3 linked regions of the Astyanax mexicanus genome follow. The protein of the gene in region 1 purifies or fractionates together with the protein of each later gene. This does not show direct contact. Links are inferred from orthologs where the notes say so. Each region holds a gene or a part of one and is shown on either strand. Other genes may lie near its edges.

What was found.
Region 2: the proteins of histone H2A.Z (region 1) and mier1b purify together in Homo sapiens (affinity purification with mass spectrometry; 3 studies listed by BioGRID and IntAct, with this or other methods). This does not show direct contact. The link is inferred for Astyanax mexicanus from reciprocal best matches to the Homo sapiens genes H2AZ1 and MIER1.
Region 3: the proteins of histone H2A.Z (region 1) and smarcb1b purify together in Homo sapiens (affinity purification with mass spectrometry; 3 studies listed by BioGRID and IntAct, with this or other methods). This does not show direct contact. The link is inferred for Astyanax mexicanus from reciprocal best matches to the Homo sapiens genes H2AZ1 and SMARCB1.

Annotation. Positions count from the first base shown.
Region 1 is NC_064415.1:30,686,632-30,694,538, reverse strand, and holds the start of histone H2A.Z, read right to left. Parts: upstream 3,007-7,907; 5' UTR 2,761-3,006; coding exon 2,758-2,760; intron 2,362-2,757; coding exon 2,284-2,361; intron 895-2,283; coding exon 781-894; intron 386-780; coding exon 256-385; intron 15-255; coding exon 1-14. UniProt on the Homo sapiens protein: Variant histone H2A which replaces conventional H2A in a subset of nucleosomes. Nucleosomes wrap and compact DNA into chromatin, limiting DNA accessibility to the cellular machineries which require DNA as a template.
Region 2 is NC_064415.1:897,919-905,263, reverse strand, and holds the start of mier1b (mesoderm induction early response protein 1b), read right to left. Parts: upstream 3,019-7,345; 5' UTR 2,984-3,018; coding exon 2,960-2,983; intron 881-2,959; coding exon 856-880; intron 725-855; coding exon 582-724; intron 1-581. Other genes in the region: natriuretic peptide Na-NP-like, read right to left, coding at 6,390-6,638. UniProt on the Homo sapiens protein: Transcriptional repressor regulating the expression of a number of genes including SP1 target genes. Probably functions through recruitment of HDAC1 a histone deacetylase involved in chromatin silencing.
Region 3 is NC_064424.1:46,282,185-46,290,097, forward strand, and holds the start of smarcb1b (SWI/SNF-related matrix-associated actin-dependent regulator of chromatin subfamily B member 1-A), read right to left. Parts: upstream 3,019-7,913; 5' UTR 2,973-3,018; coding exon 2,889-2,972; intron 1,096-2,888; coding exon 984-1,095; intron 824-983; coding exon 694-823; intron 569-693; coding exon 431-568; intron 1-430. Other genes in the region: hmgcrb (3-hydroxy-3-methylglutaryl-CoA reductase b), read left to right, coding at 4,640-4,664, 5,675-5,862, 6,058-6,169, 6,550-6,637, 6,759-6,843.

The DNA.
Region 1 (7,907 bases):
GTGGGGAATGACACCTTAAATGAAGAAAGAGAAAGGAGAAAGTTGTTAAATGGAAAACTATAAAAATCAATGCCAAGCTACAGTAAAAAAAATAAAAATAAAAAAAGTTGTTTGGTAGTGTTGAACTAATTTCTTGCACATTCTACAGACAAAGCTCTAAAAAGTGTTGACATTGTCTGATACTTGCCAAAACCAACGTACACCCTTCTCTTAAATAAAACTTTTGATTCGAAACTATAAATATACACAACTTACCACCACCAGCAATGGTCGCTTTGATGAGGGAGTCCAGCTCCTCATCACCTCTGATGGCGAGCTGCAAATGGCGGGGGGTAATACGCTTCACCTTCAAATCTTTGGAAGCATTTCCTGCCAGCTCAAGAACCTTAAAAAGTGGAAACAGAAACCTAATTAGTGGGGCAATTTAGTACAGTCAGTAAAAAATACAGGGCTTGCTTAGCAGGATTTTCCACATGAGGAAATTCTAAAAATCTCCTAGATAGAACTTAACTAAGACAAAGTGTATACAACGTATGAATAGAAACACTAAGCAGCTACTCAAAGTGATACATAATCAATATTAAAATGACCTATTTTTATTTTTAAAATTATATTCACTAGCCAGGCATACGTCTTGGAACTGAAAGGTTGCAATGATCACAGAGCTGTAAAATACATGCTTGCCATCTAGAACTCGTGCCATCTAGAACTCTACACACATTCTGATTACATACATCAGTGCTGATGTTCATATGGCTGAATGTTTTGCTATCCCCCTACCTCAGCAGTCAGGTACTCCAGAATAGCAGCACTATAAACAGCTGCAGTGGCTCCTACACGCCCATGACTTGTGGTTCTGGACTTCAAATGTCTGTGAATACGTCCAACAGGGAACTGCCACATAAAGACAAGATATAGATATACAATATAAATAACACAAAAAACAACTAATTCAAAATTTGACATTTTTACTGTGTAAAAATCTAGACTGGATATTACAATGTTCAGTTTGGGGAACAAAAATTTGGTAATGGAGAAATGTTTAACCTCAATTGGATTTTGCCCCAATGCAATACTCACAAGCATGTGTATTTATCCCCTGCACCCATTTGTTTATTTGTTGCTGCTTCTACCACTTGGTTTTAGATTTATTTTTTTGCTAGTTTAGACATTGGTGGGGTACCATATTGTCTTACACACAATGTCAAATTTTGGAACGTACACAGTTATTGCAAAAATACCCTGAAATATTGGGGCACAGATTTTTTTTTTCTTCTGTTTGTAGGAAAAGAAAAATTCACACGGTTCTCATTTCCCATTAAATAATATCTACTATAGACAGATTATATAAGTACATTTATTTTTAGTTCAGTCCTGGATATATGGAGTGCATCACTTATTTCATGTTGGATCATTCACATCTGTGAATATCTCAATTAGGGATAGCATATTATATTGTATGCAATAATAGAAAATATTCTGCATTCATATCGTATTCGATACATTTGTATTTTTAATTTAAATGTTCATACTGCCAAGAATTTCTTTGTAGCAAAGTACACAAACCTTTAGTAGATAAACATTTAATCAAACTAGTTAACCATGATATTTTTACTAACCATATACTTTTTTTTTGCAGACAAGGTTATTTACATGTTCGTTATTGCACAAAAAAAAGGCCATTTGGGTACAATTTAAGCACTGTTAATGCTTCCCCTGAAATATCTCAGAGACTGATTATCTCTGTCCATTATCATTTCTTTTGCTTCAAGACTGGATATATGGAGTGCATTATTAGCATCATGACAGTCTGGATAATTGACTTTTGTTACAACCTGGTGAAAACCTTAATTTGGCATGTAACATCTCATATGCATTCAATAATATCAGCAATATAAATTTTGTTGTTGTAACCGGATTTTAATTAAATTATTTTTTCAGTATTCTGTCATACCGCCAAGAATGTTGTCGCAAAATTATCGTGATATTTTAGGGCTACATCGCCCACCACTTGTAGACATAACTTAACTAACGTTACATTTCATCTAGTTAACAAGCTTCAGCTGCGGGTATTTTGGTCAGTGATCAGCTCATACAAAAGCAAAAATAGGGAAACAAAACTATTTATTTATCTAGTAAACCAATTAACCGAACGTTTTTTTTGTAAATTCTTACGCTTGAACGCTAACTAGATTAAATGCTTAGCAATAATGGTAAAAAAAGAAGCAATTTTCAGTTATACGGCGGCAGCCCGCCTGTTAGCGCGGCGGTCTCGGTACAAACCTGCAGTCCTGCCCTCTGGGAGCGAGAAACAGCCTTGGCTTTCGCCTTTCCTGAGTCCTTACCAGCTTTTCCTCCAGCCTGAAAAATAACAACGGAGAAATTAAGAGCTTAAATTTATATCCGGGCTTTTTACAGTGTTTTAAACAAGCGCGGTAAAATCTAACAGCCTTATGGGCGCCCTTGCCTTGCTTTTTACAGGCAGCGAGTAAGCTAGCGTTAGGTTAGCAACCTAGCACTACGTTTCGGTCTGTGGCTAAGCTAGCCAGCTAGCTAAGCTAACGTCGAGGCAACGAACTGGCTCCGAGTCGTTAGCTGCTAGCTAGTTAGCCGAAACTAGCCCTGGAAACAATGGGCTCTATACTAAATGAACTAAATGAATGAAACCCTGCGGAAAAACGCGTTAAAATATCTTAATAACATTAAACAGACCACAAACAGACTATAAAATAAATTAAACAGCCGTATTTACGATACCATTGTGCGAATCTAACTGCCGTAGAGCGCGGACACAAATCCAGAGAGCTTCGTTTAAACTGAGTTACCCGCCTTTCAGTTCGCTATATAGTTCCACCAGCCACTACATCCGGGACCCCGCGCTCACACAGCAGCCAATCACATTCAGCGTGCTGGCATTCGGCGTACAACCAACCAATCACACTGTGCTGATCCCAGCGATGGGGCGGTCCGTTAGAGGGATGGGAAATGTAGTTTAAATGTAGTTCAATTCTACACAGCTGCTAAGTAGTGTGTTATCCACGTACAGATCCACTAGTTTTCTATCAGACTCAATTCCAAGGAGAATATCCTAATATTAATTATGATACAGTACATACTTTAAACATGTTCTGTGCAAATTTAAAAATAAATGTGTAAAACGTGTGCACAAAATTATCATATATTAAAAATAAATATATGTAGAACATACAAATATACAAAATATTTTAGTTTTCCAGGTTTTTGAAAAAAACATTAAGCAGTAGCAAATACACTAAACAATATATGTAAAATGCATTTGGCATAAAAAAGTATATTCCTTTTACTGTAAGACTTTGCATGATTATTAAAACTTGTTAATATAGTTGAAATGTTCATTACACATAAAGAATCCCATGCCCACACACATCTTGTTGTGCAGACAGTGAAAATAAACCGAAAGCACAGCTTTATCCTATGCATTTAAAACCTTCACTTCATAAAACAATTGAGTAATGCTTTATAATATGGCCCACATTTTAGAGTGTAAGTTTCCTTAACTTCTCTGTATAAATCAGTACATTCAAAATACACACCAGGTCTTACTGGTACTTAAATTATATACAAATAAAGAAATATGGACAGCCAGGAACAGGAGAGTAACAACATTCTGTGTTTTACAGTGTAAGTAAAAGAGGAACTGTGTGAGTATAATAAAATCAGAATTGATTTTATGCTTCTAGCAGACCTGGATGTTCAGTACTGCAGCAACTCAAAACTGTCAGGCTGCAGGAAGAAAACTTAACTCCAGAGCAGACAGTTATAGACATTTTGGCTTGAGATGTTATGGAATAAGATAATGGTAAATGTCAGGAAATGTTACCCAATTTTATATGTACTGGTTTATCCAGAGATTAAACTATAAGTTTGGGAAAATTAAATTTTGTGTACATGTCAGAAAGTTAACCAATTGCTTCTCTCTTGTTCCTAGTTGTTCATATTTCTTTATTTGTACCTTACAGTACCTGAAACATATTTTGTATGTATTGGTTAATACTGAGTTCCACCATAAGTTAAGGGAACTTACACTCTACTAACGCTGGGCAAATTTCACTCTATTAAAAGAAAATACCCAGAGCAGATACAAATGGAATACTTTTTTTTAAGGTCCAAATATCTAGTATTTTGTCAACCCTGACCTCTGGGTAGTTGGCACCATCTTATTTGCATTCTCCCCATGTAAGCCCTTCTGCCTGTAACTGTAAGTTCTGTGTTAACAAGCTTCAATGATTTTTGGTGAAATGTGTTTTTGCATTATATGGCACAAGTTCTGTTATTATTTCATGTTTATAATTAGTTGTCTATTTTCAGCAAACCTAATAATGTTACTCTGTCTTTCGCTCTTCACACTCTAGTTCTTAGGTCTAATACATTGTTTAGCAAATCAGGCCAGAAGCATGTCACCTATTTTAACTAGAAACTGTCAGATGAATCAAGTTTCCATGCTTTATAAATTATAAATTATAAATAAATAAAAAACCCAGCTGCTACACATCTATTTATCTATCTTTCTATCCTTACTTACATTTAGCAAACATGGACTTCTCTAAGAAACTGTTTAAATATCTGCTAAAGTGTAAAAGACTAACTAAGTGTTGAACCAGCTTGCATTTCTTATAGGAAGATAAAGATCCAAATTATACCTCAACATCAGCAATAATTTAACAGTGTAGAAAATTTGTAGATAGACCTAAAAACTAAAAGAGCAGCAAGAAAACTCAAAAGTGTCTCAGGAGTAGAGCAGAGTAGGACCAACTAGGAACAAGGAGACTTTTAGTTGTAATTTCTGCCAGAGGGGTGCTACCACGTCCTGACTCAGAAGTTTTGCCAGACCATATATTTATGCTATGAGAGAGAGAGAGAGTAACTGTGCATTAAGGTTTGTTGAACATATCAATATATTGTAATTTATGTTTAATTAGCTAAAAAGGTTATTTTTACTGCTTCTAAATGCCAAAACATAATACAATTCATCACCTGGCCAAGGGTGCCCAAACTTTTCCATTACATTATCTATACAGTCTGAGAAGACCTAAAATTCAACCTTGTAACAGTGGATTATATACAAAATAATACAATGTACTTTTGAACTGGTTATATTGTTTGTTGCTGCTGTCCAGGGAAAAACACAAATCTCCCCTTTTCCGTTGTTTTCTCCAGCATTTGAACCATGTAGCTGCTCTGGATAAGTAAATAATTCAGAATGAATAGAGCAATAAAAATGCTCTAAAATTACATGAAACAATCTTATTTTTCACTAACTTTCATTCAAAAGTATAAAAACTGCCTTCTCCTGTAAAATCACTATTTAGGGGATTCATGATTTTCACTGCACAGCAATGATGTTCACAAGCTATATGTGGATAAGCTACTGGAATTGAGGTTTCCTGATCTTGGATGAATACTTGTGACTTTACTGACCATTAAACCCTATATATTAAGACTAAGTAAAGTTCTTAGACAATTTAAGGACTCAAAAGAAGAAGATGACTGGCTCTTGTAATGGTGCAACAACGTGTCAGACAAGAAGAAGACAGCAAAATTGACCAATTGAAAGTCTGATAGTCATACTGAGGTCATTTCACACCCTATTATTCCACCCTTACCCCAGTTTAACAGCTCATTCATCTGAAGAAGTGCCCTATTGCAAAACAGGAGTACATCAATCTGAATTACAATAGAACTTTTTCACAGTCTCTGTTATGAACAATGTGTCTCAAGCCCTCAACATATGCCAAGATAAGCTTATTATTCAAGGCTGAAAATTCAATATTATGATATTTTCCAAATTTACCATACTTTCAGGGAACCATATAATTACTGTAGTTTGAATTTGAAAAAACATTGGACAGTGAAATGTTCTGTTCAAAGTAAGTTAATGAATTAATGCTTCTTGAGGGCTTTTTTCATCATATTTGTTAAATATGTTACAGCTTTTTTTTTCGCTCAATGATTTTTTTTGCATTTTCTTCTTACTGTAACAATCCACAAAAATAAACATACTTTTTACATACAATATTTGTATATTATTTGTATAAGGCAGGGTGCGAATTACGGGGGTATTGGGGAGGTGGGGGCAGACCACCCCAATTAAGACTTTAACCCCACCTAAATTGGTTAAAACAATAGTTTGGGGGTCAAAACATTTAATAATGCTACATATAACGTTCAATACTAAAAAAAAACAATACAGTATCTATGCCTGGAAGAATATTGTTATACGATTTCAAGCACCCCTAAAGTGGATCATACCATTCCATGTCAATGAACATTTCTCTAGTTTACCTGCCTGCCTCATTATTGGTCAGATGGCTTGTGTCTAAGTTATGGCACTCAAGCTGCTCGAGCTACAGCATTATGTGTAAGTAGCGCTTAGCTTTACTTAGCTTGAAATATCAACTTTAAACACAATTTCCTTACATAAATACCTCACATTTGCACATTTATCCCGCCTTAAATGCTGCTAATTTACCATTCCGCCTTAAATGCTGCTGTGGCGGCACACCGTCTTCAAGCTGTCAATATTTTTGGCGCTTTTAAGGTGGAACAGAACATTATAATGGGAATCCACTTTCTGTTTTATCTGGACTGTTTGTGATTTCTGCACACTCTCAGCAGAAATGGGTAAAACTCCAGTGTCAAAATATGTGGATGAAATAGGACAAAAGCCTTATCTACAGGGGTTTTCAGTCACATTATTTTCTATTTATTTAGAATTTAATAACAAATGATTTCTATAGGAGAGATCCTGTATAATATGAATTAAAATGTAATGGCAAGAAAGCTGATGAAAGATAGCAGCCAATAGCATTGTGTTTGTTTTTAACAGGATTAACTGTGGCTTTTGTTGTATAATATATTATTTATGACTATAAAGGTTATTGTGTTGTATGTGCTACATTAACTGATGTAATAAGTTTTTCTTTTACATGATGTAGATATTACAGTAAGGTGAATATATCTACACTGATGGGCGTTGTGGTTTGGAAGTGAGGTGTGTTCAGGAATATTTTTGCCGTATTGCTATCTTAGCAACGGAAAACACAAGTGTGCCATTGTCTGAAAGCAACCTAGGCATTGGTCAGACGTCATTGCAATCTTGGCAGTGAATTGTCAACAGATTTATCCATAATGCAGTGCAAAAACCCATAGCACTTTTACATCAACAATAAACAGAATGAGTGAGCATTACAAAAGCAGGTCAGTTTACTCTGCTAAGAAGTTTTGTTAATGTCCAGGTATACCCAGGGGCATAGCAGCAAATTCTGCACCCTCCCTGTCTGCACCCACAACTCTTAGTGTCAGTGGGCCCCTATCCATGCCATTACACAAGGAACGTGAGCAAAAACAAATCAGGATTTTCATGAGCCCCTCTTCCTACTTGGGCCCTGAGTAGTCAGGTCCACTTTTCCCCCCATTACCACACCCATGGCTGTGCCCCAGAAATGTGCCAAAGTCAGAGCTAACCTGTGTTTTAAAGGGAATAGCAAGTGACACGTCTTTTATGTGTCTAAGCCGGGCAAGGTTTACTTTTCACGTTGTTTTGATAGCAAAGACAGACTGACAAACAATAAATCAAGCCGCACAATGCACGGTTGACGGTTTATATATGTATATATATATCTATTGCAGAAATAAAAAAGGGTTTCTATTAGTATACAGTTGTTTAAGAAGTAATCAGAATTCTCAGTATATTAAATGGATGGATAACAGGTCTACACTGATGTCCTTCTGATTTGTGGATTACCACAGTCATGTGTCCACAAGGTGGCTGTATGTACTCTTAAACACAGACTACTCTCTGCACTGCTGCATCAGGTAAAACACACAGTTACATCAGAGACGTCAGCTGGTAACTCGAGAACATTTGG
Region 2 (7,345 bases), about 30 Mb from region 1:
AGTAGAAAATAATTTAGTGTATTGAAAATTAAAACTCAACGTTTTGCATTTATCAATTTTGTTCCATTGTGATGCAGAATATAGCATGTTAGCTAGCTTTCCGCTAATGTTAACTAGGTCTCTGCTAACCCTGGTTTTCTCCACAGTGACGTAGCTAACTCGCCGCTAACGTTAGTATCTTAGCTAGCTCGTTGCTAAAGTTAACACAGCTAACCTTAGTTTTCTCCCGTTAATGTTAGCTAGCTCTGCACTAACTACACTAATTTAAGATTTTAATGATAAAGATTTTAATTTAAGGTATTTTAAGACTTTTTAAGGACCCGTGGGAACCCTGGTATTACCGAGTGGAAATAAAGGTCAATTGATTGATTGATAATAAACATATAAACCTTTTGTGCAGAAGCTGGTCTGAATTTTCAGGTGTGAAAATGTTCTAAAATATGTTTCTGAAATGATAATCTGACGTTTGGTTTCCAGTATTTTGGCCTCTCCACATTGAAACAGATGGAAGGCTGGAAATAAGCACCCGGCTGGATATGATGGAGTGATATAATGATGAAATGACGGAATGATGCACTCACTCTGTTACTCACTCTGTTCAGGTCGTCGATCTCGTTGCGGAAGTTGGTCTCTCCCTCCATAAGCTCCTCCTCCTCCATGGTGCGCTCATCGTCAAATTCCTGCACCAGCATTTCAGCCGAAGGGTCGAAGTCCACCGAAACCCCTGCAGCAGAACCACGCCCCCATCAGCCCTGATCCACCACAACACCTCACAACCACCAGAAATCAAAAACACAATCTACACTGATACAGATCTGCTCAGAGAAACTCCCACAACTTCAGACTGAGGCTTACCTGGGCTTGAATTCCCCAAGGAGGACTGCAGGAGACAGACAGAGAGACAGACAGACAGAGAGAGAGACAGACAGAGAGAGAGAGACAGGGTCAGAGAATGATCAGCTCATCTTCAACAATAATTTAGATGCTTCACAGTTCCTGAAGGATTACTAACGCTCAGAGCTGGATGATACGTCCAAAACGTAAATCACAATATATATATATATAGACCTAGGAAAAAATAAGAGAGCACTTAAAAATGATGAGTTTCTTTGATTTTACCAAATTAAAACCTCTGGAATATAATCAAGAGGAAGATGGATGATCACAAACCATCAAACCACCAAACTGAACTGCTTGAATTTTTACACCAGGAGTAAAGCAGCATAAAGTTATCCAAAAGCAGTGTGTAAGACTGGTGGAGGAGAACATGACGCCAAGATGCATGATTAAAAACTGTGATTAAAAACCAACCAGGGTTATTCCACCAAATATTGATTATTTCTGAACTCTTAAAACTTTATGAATATGAACTTGTTTTCTTTGCATTATTTGAGGTCTGAAAGCTCTGCATCTTTTTTGTTATTTCAGTCATTTCTCATTTTCTGTAAATAAATGCTCTAAATGAGAATATTTTTATTTGTAATTTGGGAGAAATGTTGTCTGTAGTTTATAGAATAAAACAACAATGTTCATTTTACTCAAACATAAACCTATAAATAGCAAAATCAGAGAAACTGATTCAGAAACTGAAGTGATATCTTTAATTTTCTCGAGAGCTGGAGAACTTAGGTCACTACAGTATAATTGATAATTCCAACAGAGATACGAACAGTATAAATCCACCGTCGTGCTGTACATCACACACACAGTAGTGCTGGGCGGTATGACCAAAAATGTATATCACAGTATTTTTATTTTATCTTATTTATCTTATTCAGACTTTATTATCAGAAAAACAGCTGAAGAATGTGAACAATAGACTTTAGAAAAAGATATGCAACAACTTCAACATGGCTTATTTTTTTAAATAGTTCCATAAACACTACAAATGGACCCAATATACTCAGCATTTAAGTATTTAAAATATATATATCAATTTATATTGTTTTTCTGAAGACATTAGAGGCATTACTGTATTAAAATCAGCCACAGTTGCCTTCTCTCTCCAGTTAATAAATACGTACAGTTTAGTTTGCATTAAAATATAATATCATTCAAGCTACAGTATTAATATATTTAAAACAGCTTTAGTTTTAGGGAGTTTTATTTCATTTGCTGAATAAATGAAGATTTGACTTTCAGTATATAATAATAATCTGGATTGATAGGCAGCATATAGTGAATTACACTGAATTAAACTGAATTTAAACCTGAATTAGTGATAAACTGGCAACATAAAATGAAACTGAATACGTATTAATGTAACAACCTGGTCATAGTCTGTAAAACTGAATTTAGTGGAAAAATAATTAAGTTTGTCCGTCATATAAATTGATAATCTGGAGTGACGGGCAAAGTATACTGAATTACACTGAAATAAACTTAATTTTAAACCAAATTACAGATAAACTGATGATTTTGGTGAAGCAGACTCGCAGTGTAAAACTGATTTTTATATTTATATGATTTAAAATGCAGTATAATGTGAATGATCAGCCCTATAAGTGTATTTAAATGCGGATTTAGATCCGAATTGAGATGTGGAACAGTGTGGAAGTTTGAGCTTTAGCTTCATTATCTCAGATTCAGATTTAACACACTGCAGCCCGTAACCCGCTCACAGAACTGATATTACTGAATAAAAAACACCGGAATAATAAAACCGTATTATTACATCACTACCCGCGCGCCGCCGCGGAATGCGCTTTATTTTAACCCGCTTTAATCCGGATTGAAATCCGCTAACAGGCTAACAGTGCTAATAAGTTTACAGTGGCGGGTATTTGTGTTAAAATCAACAAGTTTAAAGGCGGGAAAAGCCCGGTACTGCCCGCGCGCCGCTGCGGGGCTGAGTGCGGGGCCGTGGTGAGCGCGCGGGGCGCGGGGAGAGCGCGAGACCGCAGAAATCCCGCACTTTATTCCCTGTTTTTAGGAGAAATCAGGAGAGTTTCCGTCCTACCTCCGCCATATTCCGCCGCTGCATACGGGTCACTCAGGGGGCGGGGCCGCGGGAAGACCCGGATGAAGCAGAGCTGATCAGAGTGATTAAACTGCTTTAATTATTAATAAATTAGAATTAATATAAATTAATATACAGCACCATATATATGTATGGAGAAACATTCTCCTTGGTTGTTTTATTATTATTTTAATTTTATTATTTTTCCTACACTGTAAATTAATAATGAAGTGGTCAAACTTATGAGGGCCAGTTCCATCATAACGTTTTTTCATAGGGGATTTTGTTTCATTACTTAATTTTTTTCCTAAACTCATTTTTGTCGTTACTTAGTTGAGTAGTTTTTGCCATAATATGGACTAGAACAGGTCTCAGACCGGGTGTTAAGGAGCTAAAATTAGCTTTTATTTTATTTTATTTTTCAGTTCCACCTTAAATACTGCAGCCTCTACCTTCTTTTGCACCATTTAAGGTGGAATGGGAAAGTTAGCTAGCTATCCATTGATTTAAGCTAATTTTTATTTATTTATTTTTATTAGTTTCAGTAGATTCATTGTTTTATTTAAGCTGTTAATTTAATACAGAGGTAAGAAGCAGTTAGATAAATAAATGAATCTGAAAAATAATTTATCAGGAGAAATCTTATAATATATAGTTTGTCAACTAATGTTTATAAGGTAAACAGAGGGGGGTGTAATTCCTCTGTAACTTATAAAAGTGATATATCTTTAATAAAATACAAATATTTATACTTAGTAGTGAAAGAGCAGAGCTTGGTTTGGTTAGTAGAACATTTTCTGAAAGTTACAGATAACGTTCTTAAAACGTTCAAATCTGTCAAGTTTTCTGGATGTTCTTAAAATCTTTTATTGAACACTTTTAAACGTTCTGGTAACATCACTTGTGTCAATGTTTTAATTTTTAGTTGATGTTAGTTGATGGTACTGAAAATGTTTCCGTAATGTTAGTATTGGTCTAGCAGAGAAACATTCATGAAACGTTTCAAAACGTTGATAAACGTTCTCATAGCGTTCTCTGTTACGGTGTGAATATTGACAGATGTTTTGATTTAGTTTCAGTTTTTTAATTGAAATGTATACTAGTTTTAGTCACATATTACTTGTTTAGTCATCATTAGTTTTAGAATCTAATAAAACAGATTTTTATGTACAGATTTATTGTTGTACTGTTTTAGATTTGTACTATTATTTTGAGATTATTTATTTATTATTAATGTTTATTAAAACAAATAGCTTTTAGGTTTCGGTACATTAAAATTATGCTAATATTAAAAGGTTTTAAAGCAACTACGCTATAAAGATGAGAAAAATAAAGTCAAGTAACTAAAAATTAAACACTTCTACTGCAGTACAGGTTTCTACTAACATTACTGACGTTCTGTATCTGGACTTTTATTAATTAACCACTATATTTACACAATATGTGGGGCACTCCGATCACTGATCAATAATACTGTTTATTATAGATAAGTATCCAATTTGTCAGTCTTTCACCTTTTCATTTAGCTTTTATTAGTTGATGAAAAAATCTTATTAAATGTCACTATAATTTTCATGATAAATAAATTATGAATCAATATCTTTTGTAAACTGGGAATATGGTATGCAGGGTGTAGTGCAGCAAATAAATAATAAAAAATAAATAAGTCAAAAGGTATAAAAGAACAGTATTTATTATTTAGATAACAGTGTTATTATGTGACAGTTTCATCGGGATCATCTTCCCAGACCCAGATTAGGTTTAATCCCATCATTAATTTCATGACCTGGAAACTGACCCAACATGACTATTTGTTTTTTATTTAAAACAAAAAAACAAATCATACATATTAACACACACTATACACGTACAGTATAAGCAGGAACAAATGTGCAGGAAAGTATTTACAAATAGTAATAAAAATAATAACAATAATCAGATAATAGCATCAGTGTTACTGATATAAAATAAACTTTCAGTGATGCAGCTGCAGCAGCGACGCATGGGCCTGAGGCCTGTAACATTACTGAACTTAATATACTCTATATATCGTTTTATATAGAGAGCAAAAAATAATGTTTTAAATGCTGTTAGGACTCGATCCAGACCAGAACATACTGTAAATGTGAGGAGAGTAATAATACTATTGAGCATCACAAGTGATAGGAGGAGTCCTAATGAGTGGGTTGGGTAATTGAGTAAATTGGGGAGAAAATGGGAAAAAAATAGAAATAATATTATTTTTACCGTATCGATTGGGTGTTAGCTAGTTTTCCAGCTAACAATATTTAGTTAGTAGAACAGTTAACAAAAAACGGATTTTATGGATGTTCTTAGAACATTTTTATTTAACATGATATTTAACATTTTACAATGTTCCCAAACATTTACAACATCAAAGGGATTGAAAGCATTTAATAATAAACTCGAAATAAAAATGAATAAAATAGTAAAAAAAAAAAAGTACTAATTTTAAATCAATATTTTACTATTTACTATTTACTATGTTTTTTAATCGTTACAGTTAACAAAAAATGGATTTTATGGATGTTCTTAGAACATTTTTATTTGACTATTTTTTTTTAACGCTGTGGTAACATTGCTGCAACATCACTTGTGTCAGTGTTTCAAATGTTTAGTTTTTAACTTTTACCGTTTCCATAATGTTAATATTCGTCAGGATGGGAATCAATCAATTAAGCTTTATTTTCACTCGGGAAAAAACATTAAGAGAATGTTTCTGATAATTTACAACATCAAAGGGATTAAAAGCCTTTAATAATAAACTCGAAATAAAAAGGAATCAAGTAGTAAAAAAATAATAATAATAAAAAAGTACTACATATTAAATCAACATTTAACATGTATAAATAAAATATAAATGTACAACAGAAAATTCTAAAATACCATAAAAAACTAATTGACACATAAAAAGTAAAATATAAAATAAGTAAAAAGATAATAGTAAAAGTAAAGTAAAATGTTAAGAATGGTAAGAAATGATAAAATGAATAATAGAACTAAGAACAAGAATGAAAATATAAAACATTAGAATAAAAAATAAAAGTAATAATAAATAAAATAAAAGAAATGTTATTAAAAGAATGTTATGTGAGAAACTTTATAATAATGTTGTGATGCTAACTAGCATTAGCATCCTGGAACATTATCTCTAGTATTGTAACTAGTTAGCTATCAGAAAGCTGGACTACAACTCGACGAGGCTGTCAATCACTTCATTCCTAAGTGTAGCCCCGCCTCCTTCTTCTCTACGTAAATAAAAATGAGATGCAAAGTGGGCGGGGCTTTTCGTCACTGAAGTGTGATACAGTGTTCAGGATCTCCACAGGGCTGCTGGGTAATATATCAGTATCCAGTCTTTAGTCCGTTCAGCACTGTAAACTCCGCCCCCTCAGGCTGTAATTCCACTCTAATTCCCAGGTGGCGCCACTTCTGCCGTTTTGCAGCCCATCCCGCTCAGGTCGCTGATCCGGTCCATCTTAAACCCGAAGCAGTTTTTACGTTTCTCACGTTTGTTCGTTTGCTTGTTCGTTTGTTTGTTTGTAGGTTTTTTCCGTACAGGTGTTGAGCTCCTCCCTCGTGACTCCGCCTCCTGAACCACACCTGTCACATTAGCCCGCAGGGTGGCGACAGTTACCGTCACGTTGGCTGCTGGCACCTGGAGCACAGACAGGTAAGAGAAAGTAATTAACATACAGGTTAATTTATGTACGGTTAATTCTGCACAGGTAACACACAGTCTAATCAATATACAGGTAACACACAGTCTAATTAACATACAGGTAACACTGGTTATTTACCAAAAATGTACCACACACATACACTTACACACAGGTTAATTAACAATCAGGTAACACAGGTTAATTAACACACAGACAAGTTAACACACAGGTAAATTGAAACACAGGTAACAATTAATTAATTAATATACAACACTGGTTATTTACCACAAATGTAACACATAGGTTAATTAATGCAGAGGTAACACAGTTTAATTAATATACAGATAATACTGGCTATTTAACACAAATGTAACAAATAAGTTAATTACCAACCAGGTAACATAGGTTCATTAACACAGAGATAAATTAATGCACAGGTAACACACAGGTTCATTAACACAACACTTAACATGCAGGTAAATTAACACAATGGTAACAAACTGGTTAATTTACATCAGCTAACATAATACTTAACACAAAGATACATTAACGCACAGTTAAAAGAACTCGTTAATTAACACACAGGTTAATTAACAACCAGGTAACACACATATACGTTAACACACAGATAACACACAGGTTAATTACCAGCACTGGTTAATGAACAGACAGAGTGCAGTAACTGCAGGTGTGCATGCAGGTA
Region 3 (7,913 bases), on another chromosome or scaffold:
GTATCTGTACTCACTATAAATGCCAAAATGCTTCTGTCGTTCTGTGTTTGTGCATATAGCATTAGCTTACTAGCTGGTAAGGCTGTGCAATGGATGGATTTTCAAATTTTGAAAGTAGTCTATTATTTACTGTGAAGCATTAAGTGTATTTTTTGTACTGTTTATGTTTGCCGTTTATGTGCATGCACTATTTTATGAATCTGGCCGTTACAAATGACAAAATGAACCAGGAGTTAAAAGCTGGTTAACATTAACTTAGCAGAATAGCTAACATTCTATTCAATACAGAAGCTCCTCAAGTTCGACTGACTAAAATCCTACTTATAAATGTTTCTTGCACTATTTAGTAAGTCTATTGAAATACTAATAAGGAAATAAGAATACGTTTTAGCCACAGCCATGGCAATTAAGAAATTAAACCATCTCTCACCACAGGGGAAACGTCCTCTTCTTGTCCCGTCCCATGCGATTTCTGTTGATTGTAGTGGAGCAAGGCACAGCATCCAGGTGGTGAGAGCTGTTGGGGAGGGTTGGAACCCATTGGCTGTTCCTCTTCGCTTTCTGCTCTCTGAATAAAATGGAGAGAAAACAGTCCATCATCTAAACTGACTGTCCTTAAAATAAGTAAAAAAACATTTACCTACATTCAGGGTATTTTCAGTCCAGGAGAAAAGACAAAAAAAGGAGCCGTACCTGAGATAGGCTGGAGGTTCCGTGCTGATGGACACTGCCTTGTATTTCTCATCGTTCCCCTCAAAGATCTCCTCGCACTCAGACGCTTTCAGCAGAGTCACACTGGTGGCTAAAGTTGTGTAACAATAACCTACACAAAATAAAACACTGCACAAAATGCTGTCCAGAAGCAGGACTACAGGACTATCTGGAGCAAAGGCATGCACTAAACAAGACCGTGGTCTCCTAAAACTGCTTTCTGGACTTAAAATCATCATAAAACAAATGCTATTGGCATTCGAATCACTTACCGTGTGATGATGCTACGATCTTTTTCCTCTCCTCCACTGACGCAAGCCGTCGCCACAAGGATGGGTACCTCTTGTACAGTGACCCTCTGAACATACGCAGGTAGTTTCCTACCTATAGGGAACAATATGCAGTCAAAACACAATCAATACTTGCAGTGGTGTGCAAACAAAATCATACAAAATGAAAAAAGCATTTAATCTTTCTTTACATATACATATCTTTTAGTCCCATATTAGGTGTATATTTATAGACAAGATGTTTAAAAATAAAAATAAACTAAAAAAGCACTGACCCAAATAATAGATAATGATTATTACACCCGAAATATGACAAACATTAAATACCACTACAGACCACAAATATCTCTCCTGTCAGACTGTTTGGTTTTATTTGGTCATTTTAATTCTGCACTGTATACTTTACTGAGGGCGCCCCAGGCCTGACTGTAATGTATGTTCTTTTCTGAGCTCTTCAGACTGTTTTGAAAGAAAGATTTAAACAGTTTATTTTCTGGAAATGTGGCTTATCTGGTTAATGTTTGTTTACAATACTGTTTAAGATCCGCTCTTCTGTCTTCTGACAGAGAAGCAGCACTAAGTATGTATAGTTTTTTTTTGTTCCATCAACCATCACTCTACTGAACTCCATATTACACCAATAAAACAGAAACACTAACTTTTATATTTTGCATTTATGAAAATTATTTAAACTACTTCGTACATTAGGTCTATTGAAGACTAGCTTTCATACACAGCATACAATATCTGTATTCATTGCAAGTTATGTGGCATATTTGCTATAAATACAGAAATACAGATATTGCTGTGTATGAAAGCTAGTCTCATTTATGTACACTAAGTAGTTTAAATAATTTTCTGACTAATATCACTTATTTTTCAAGTGGAGTGTATCATCACGTTAAACCACTTCTGATATACATTGAAGAAAACATTACAATGCCAGGTCCTAGTTTAATAAACATACATTTGGACAGGACAATATGGCCAAAAAAATATATATCACAAGTTAGAGTCCCTAATTCTGGTTAAGAAAAGATATAATTTTCAATATTGATAAGAACTACATAAAAGCACCAGAAAAACTGCCAAGGATGCCCACAACAAATGTCTGTACCTACAAACATCTTAAAAATAAAACTACTATTCTAATTTTTTGAGATGCACTAGTGTGTGTATACTGCTATTCACTGCACTCATTCATGATGCTGTGATTAAAAACAGGGTTATTCCACCAAATATTGATTTCTGAACTCTTAAAACTTTAAGAGTATGTTGTTTGTAATTTATGGAATAAAACAATAATGATAATTTTGCTCAAACATTTACCTATAAATAGTTAATTCAGAGAAACTGATTCAGAAACTGAAGTGGTCTCTTAATGTTTCCATAACTGTGTGTGTGTGTGTGTGTACTGTAAATATTGCGTTGCTTTGGTGAAGACCGTTTTCATAAGGCTACAGTAAGGGCTTAAATGATTATTTTACTAAATCTAAAAGCTGCAGTAGACAAATATGAGGTTTTAGAAGTTGTTTAAGGACAGTGTTGGTAAAGCTGATGCTGTATCTAACACAGACTGGGGGGTTTACTGTAAACATCACCACACTGCTGCGGTAACTCAACACAGACATGATTTAGAGCAAAACTGATGTGTATAAACTGATACATTCAGTGTAAATCCAGTGTGAATTCAGTGTAAAATTCAGTGTAACAGTGTTTTAAGCGCTGCCTCAGTCTTCACTCATTCATCGTTAGCATCTATGCTAACAACCAACAAAGCCTGAGGGGACGGCGCGCTGTACCGGGGGTTACCGGCCTAAACTAGCCCCCAACCCTTCGTATTCCGAGTTCAGACTCTACAGGACTGATAAAACGCTTAATACGCACCTCTGAACCGATCATATAGAAATCTCCATCCTGCTCCAACTGGAATTTAATCGGTTTCTGACCGAACGTTTTACTCAACGCCATCTTGCCCAGCACAATGCAGCGCACTGCGCATGCGCGGAATCACCGGCAGACACAGGCCCGCATCCGCTGGGATGATCAATAAAAAAAACCCACACAATTTCAGCACAAACAAATAATTAAAAATAATTAATAAAACAGAAAACATCAAATACAGAATTTTCCCACACTGAGCTACAATTAAAATAACAGCCATAAGCAGTGTGAGAGAATTTATCATAGTGTTTTTATAATAGCCAATAGAGAAATTTGAATTACAGATATTTATGCACGTACAGTGGCATAAAAAAGTATTTGCCTCTTACAGATTTCTTTCTTTCTACATTTTTCAGATGATCAAACAAACTTTAATTTCAGACAAATATAACCTGGGAAAATATGTAAAGCACTTTTTAAATTAAGATTTCATTTATTAAGGAAAAAAATATCCAAAAAAATGTGAAAAGGGCCCGTTTTTGGAAAGCAACATTATGAGTATGTAAAAGTAGCACATATTGATGGCTCGCATGATTTTAGCTGACTCGACCTCTAGCTCAAAAATGAAAAAGGCAAAAAAATGTAAGGGGTAGTTTGAGAGGGACGCTGGGTGATGTATGGGTTTAGAGGCGGGGTAGGAAGGAGAGCCGATTGGCTGAGCTGCAGCAGTAGCAGTGTGCCTCTGATAGTGGTGAGACGCAAATGGTTGTGACTTCAGTTTGTGACTAATTTGCATATTGTGAGTTAAAGGTTAGGAAATCTTTATAAAAAAATTTGCTCAAGTGCTCCATAAGAACCCATTCATTTTAGGCCCTCTAGTGTCTCAGACCAAACTTAAAAAAAAGGAGGGCCCATAGTTAGGGTACAAGTGTGCAGCCTATACTACACAAATTGGACCAGACCCTGGGTGACATCACACACCGGGGGGCGTGGCCAGGTCGCCTTGGTTGACTCACAGCCGCCATCGCTGTAGAGGGAGGAGAAGCGGAGGAGCTGCGGAGCGGATTATATCATGAAGGTAATTCTCTGGGCGGAACACCGGTCCTCTAACCCGCCACCGCTCTCCGGAGCGCGGCTCTGCCCGCGCCGCTGCTGCTTTCAGGACGCGGGTTTGACCTTGGCTGATGTCTGTGGGTAGAACTGCTTAGCTTTCGGCTAAAGGCAGCTAGCAGGGCGTTAAAATAGACACTCGGTGTTGTGCTGTCATTCGTCCTCGACGAAATCCGGCTTCCCTCCGCTTCCTGCTGTTCTCTGATTGGTTGAAATAAATGAGTGCTGTCTGAGCTCTAAATTAGTTAGAGGGGCTGAAAAATCGTTTTCTTAGACAAAAAAGATTTTTTTTTTAAATTTTATAATATTTTAACGTGTTTTTTATAATACCAATATTGTTTAAGTATTGTTATATTAACAAAAAACATTTAAATATTTTTAAAGATATATTTACCTGGAATGTTTGATATTGTAGCTTATACAAAAAGTAAATAGTGTGAATATACTTTTTCTTAAAAGAAAAAAGACAGTTTAATTAGTTAAACCTGCAATATTTTTGAATATTTTGAAATATTAACCAATTTATTTGGTAATGCATTTTTTAGTCTGTGGTCGCAAAGTGGTGGTTGATTCTTTTTTTTTTTTAGCAGGCGGACGGGTCCTTTGGGGTGCAGGATTTGGCATTTGACGCATTCTAGTGCAGCATGTCGGAACTGATCCAGTATCAGAGTAACAGGACACATGTGTTTCATCATTACGCAAAATATTGGACTTCTGTTTCACCTCTTCTTCTAATCTCAGCTCTTATTAATTACATACTGTAATAATTTATATGTAATGTATTCATAGCAAACGCCTATGTATTTTTGTATTAAAAAAGGGGAACAGTAAAGCAAAAACTGGCCAGTTAGTCCAAGTGGTTCTTTATAAGTAAATAATAGAGAGGAATAATAAATATAATATATTTTACTCATTATATTAATAATATATTTAATTTGTGTAACGTCTGGTTCATATTGCTGTATAAATTATCTGATTACAATGCAACAATAAAATTATCATCCATAAAGAGGAGGAAGTGGAGGATGACAGTTTTGACAGCTTTATATTATAAGAAGCAAGAACTACTCAACCAATCAGTCAATCCAAAACATTTGAAAACTTTTTTAAAAACTTTGAAAGTATGCTTAAGTGCAGTCACTGCACTGATTGGTGTCTCTGTGTTGAGATTTGAGCTTCTCCCGGTTCAGATTGGTGTCTCTGTGTTGAGATTGGAGCATCACCAGGTTCAGATTGGTGTCTGTGTTGAGATTGGAGCATCACCAGGTTCAGATTGGTGTCTCTGTGTTGAGATTGGAGCATCACCAGGTTCAGATTGGTGTCTGTGTTGAGATTGGAGCATCACCAGGTTCAGATTGGTGTCTCTGTGTTGAGATTGGAGCATCACCAGGTTCAGATTGGTGTCTGTGTTGAGATTGGAGCATCACCAGGTTCAGATTGGTGTCTCTGTGTTGAGATTGGAGCATCACCAGGTTCAGATTGGTGTCTCTGTGTTGAGATTGGAGCATCACCAGGTTCAGATTGGTGTCTTTGTGTTGAGATTGGAGCTTCACCAGGTTCAGATTGGTGTCTCTGTGTTGAGATTGGAGCTTCACCAGGTTCAGATTGGTGTCTTTGTGTTGAGATTGGGGCTTTACCCGGTTCTGATTGGTGTCTCTGTGTGTGTCTCTCTCCTGCAGAAGACGTGCTGATTGCTGTGACGATGCTGACCCAGCTCTTCAGGCTGCATGGCCTGTTTGTGGCCTCGCATCCCTGGGAGGTGATCGTGGGGACGATCGCCGTGACCATCTGCCTCATGTCCATGAATGCCATCGCTGGAGGAGATCAAATCTGTGACTGGAACTACCAGTGCCCTAAAGTGCAGGAGGTACATAGGCCTTTAGAGTACACACTTTCTGACTAGGGGTATTCTAATATATTAAAGGGATATTAATGTCTGCGATACTATATTAATTCTCAAAAACTCAGAATTGAGTTTTTCACACCTGTAGTTGGTTTCTACAGTTGACTGGAAACTGTTTAAAAATAAAGTGGAAACAAAATCTTTTATTTGCTCTTTCAGAAAATCCTGAGCTCTGACATCATAATCCTAACCATCACAAGGTGTCTGGCCATCGTCTACATTTACGTTCAGTTTAAAAACCTGAGGCAGCTCGGCTCCAAGTACATGCTCGGTGAGTTCACCACTGCACAATTCCTCCACAATACTTTTTAAAGAATATTAAGAATATCATCAGTGCCTGTTTAATTTTATGATGTGCTGCAAAAGTGTAAGAAATGTCACTGTACTGTTCATACTGTCTACTGGTGCATATTGTCTATGTGCAAAAACATGATAAATACTGTGTATTGTGAAAATGTCTTTAAATATTTAAATCTTTTTTTTCTTTACAAATCAAAGTGTATCGGCCAAAATTAAGAAATATATCGTAATGTAGAATTTTACCATATCGTCCAGTGTACACATTGTTTTTTTTTTGGTTTGTTTTTGCTATGTTTGGATCATCATGGACCAATAGAAATATATGGTGTGTGTGTGTGTGTGTGTGTGCAGGGATTGCTGGTCTCTTCACTGTGTTCTCCAGTTTTGTCTTCAGCACTGTGGTTATTCACTTCCTGGGAAAGGAGCTCACGGGCCTCAAGTAAGAGCTTTTATTCTTTTTTATTATTTTAGTTTATTTAGTTTTTTAATGTGCCGTTACTACTTTTATTTCGACTGTATTTCTGAAGTGCTGAGGAACCCTGTTTCTGTGTTTTCCTCAGTGAAGCGCTGCCGTTCTTCCTGTTGCTGATTGATCTGTCTAAAGCCTGTACTCTCGCCAAGTTCGCCCTCAGCTCCAACTCTCAGGTACAGAACAGCACCAGAACTACTGTGTTCCTGTTAGTTTATCTTCCCCAGAGAGTCCTATTTTTAGTGCTTGGTCATAATTACCAGCCAAATTAATACAAACTAATTAATTTATGTTTCTAAACAAACACTCATACATACTGACTAGGCAATACGTATCTTTCTATCTTTCGTATTCCCTCTTTCTCTATCCATTTTCTTTCTTTTTCTCTCTTGTCTCCACATATAAACCAAATAAATATTTATTTATAGTTTCTTTTTTGTCGCTGTTCTGCTCATTTTGTTGTTGTTCCTTAATATTTTTATTTTCTTCTTGCAATATTTTGTCTTTTTGTTTTTCCCCACCTTTTTGTCTTCTTTTTTTTTGTTTTGTTTTTTTTTCCTTCCTCTTTTCTCTGTTTTGCCTCTTAATTTGCTTATATTATTATATCTCTAATAAAAAGTGATGCCAATGAAATTGTAAAATCAACTAACACATAACATGTTAAATGACTAACATTAATGAAAATGTAAAATATGTAAAATACTAAGCTCCTATGTAGGGGTGGGCAATATTATATCGTATACAATATATCGTGAGACAGAAATATTGTGATATTAAAAATCCATATCGTGATAATAGAGATGTTCTGTCTTAAAAGTAGTCTATTATTTACTGTGAAGCTTTAGGTGTATTTATTGTATAATTGTTTTATTTTGCAGTTTATATGCTTGCACTAAATATTCTGCAATATTTTTTGCTGCATTATATTATTTTATGCTATATTTTGCCACATTATGATTATGCTTTTATACTCTTATACTATATTCCTGAAATTAATTAATTATTTTTCTGTTTTCCTATATCGCCAAGTATATCGTTATCGCAAAAAATACCCTGAAATATCGTGATATTATTTTAGAGCCATATCGCCCACCCCTACTGTATATATGGAGATATTCTTGTATTTTTATCTCAGTTAGAGATGTGCAATATCATATCGTATACAATAATATAATGTAAGTTTTGTTTTGTTGCAGTAGTGTATTTTTTTTTTTTTTTTTGTCATATCGTCAAGAGTATCGTTATC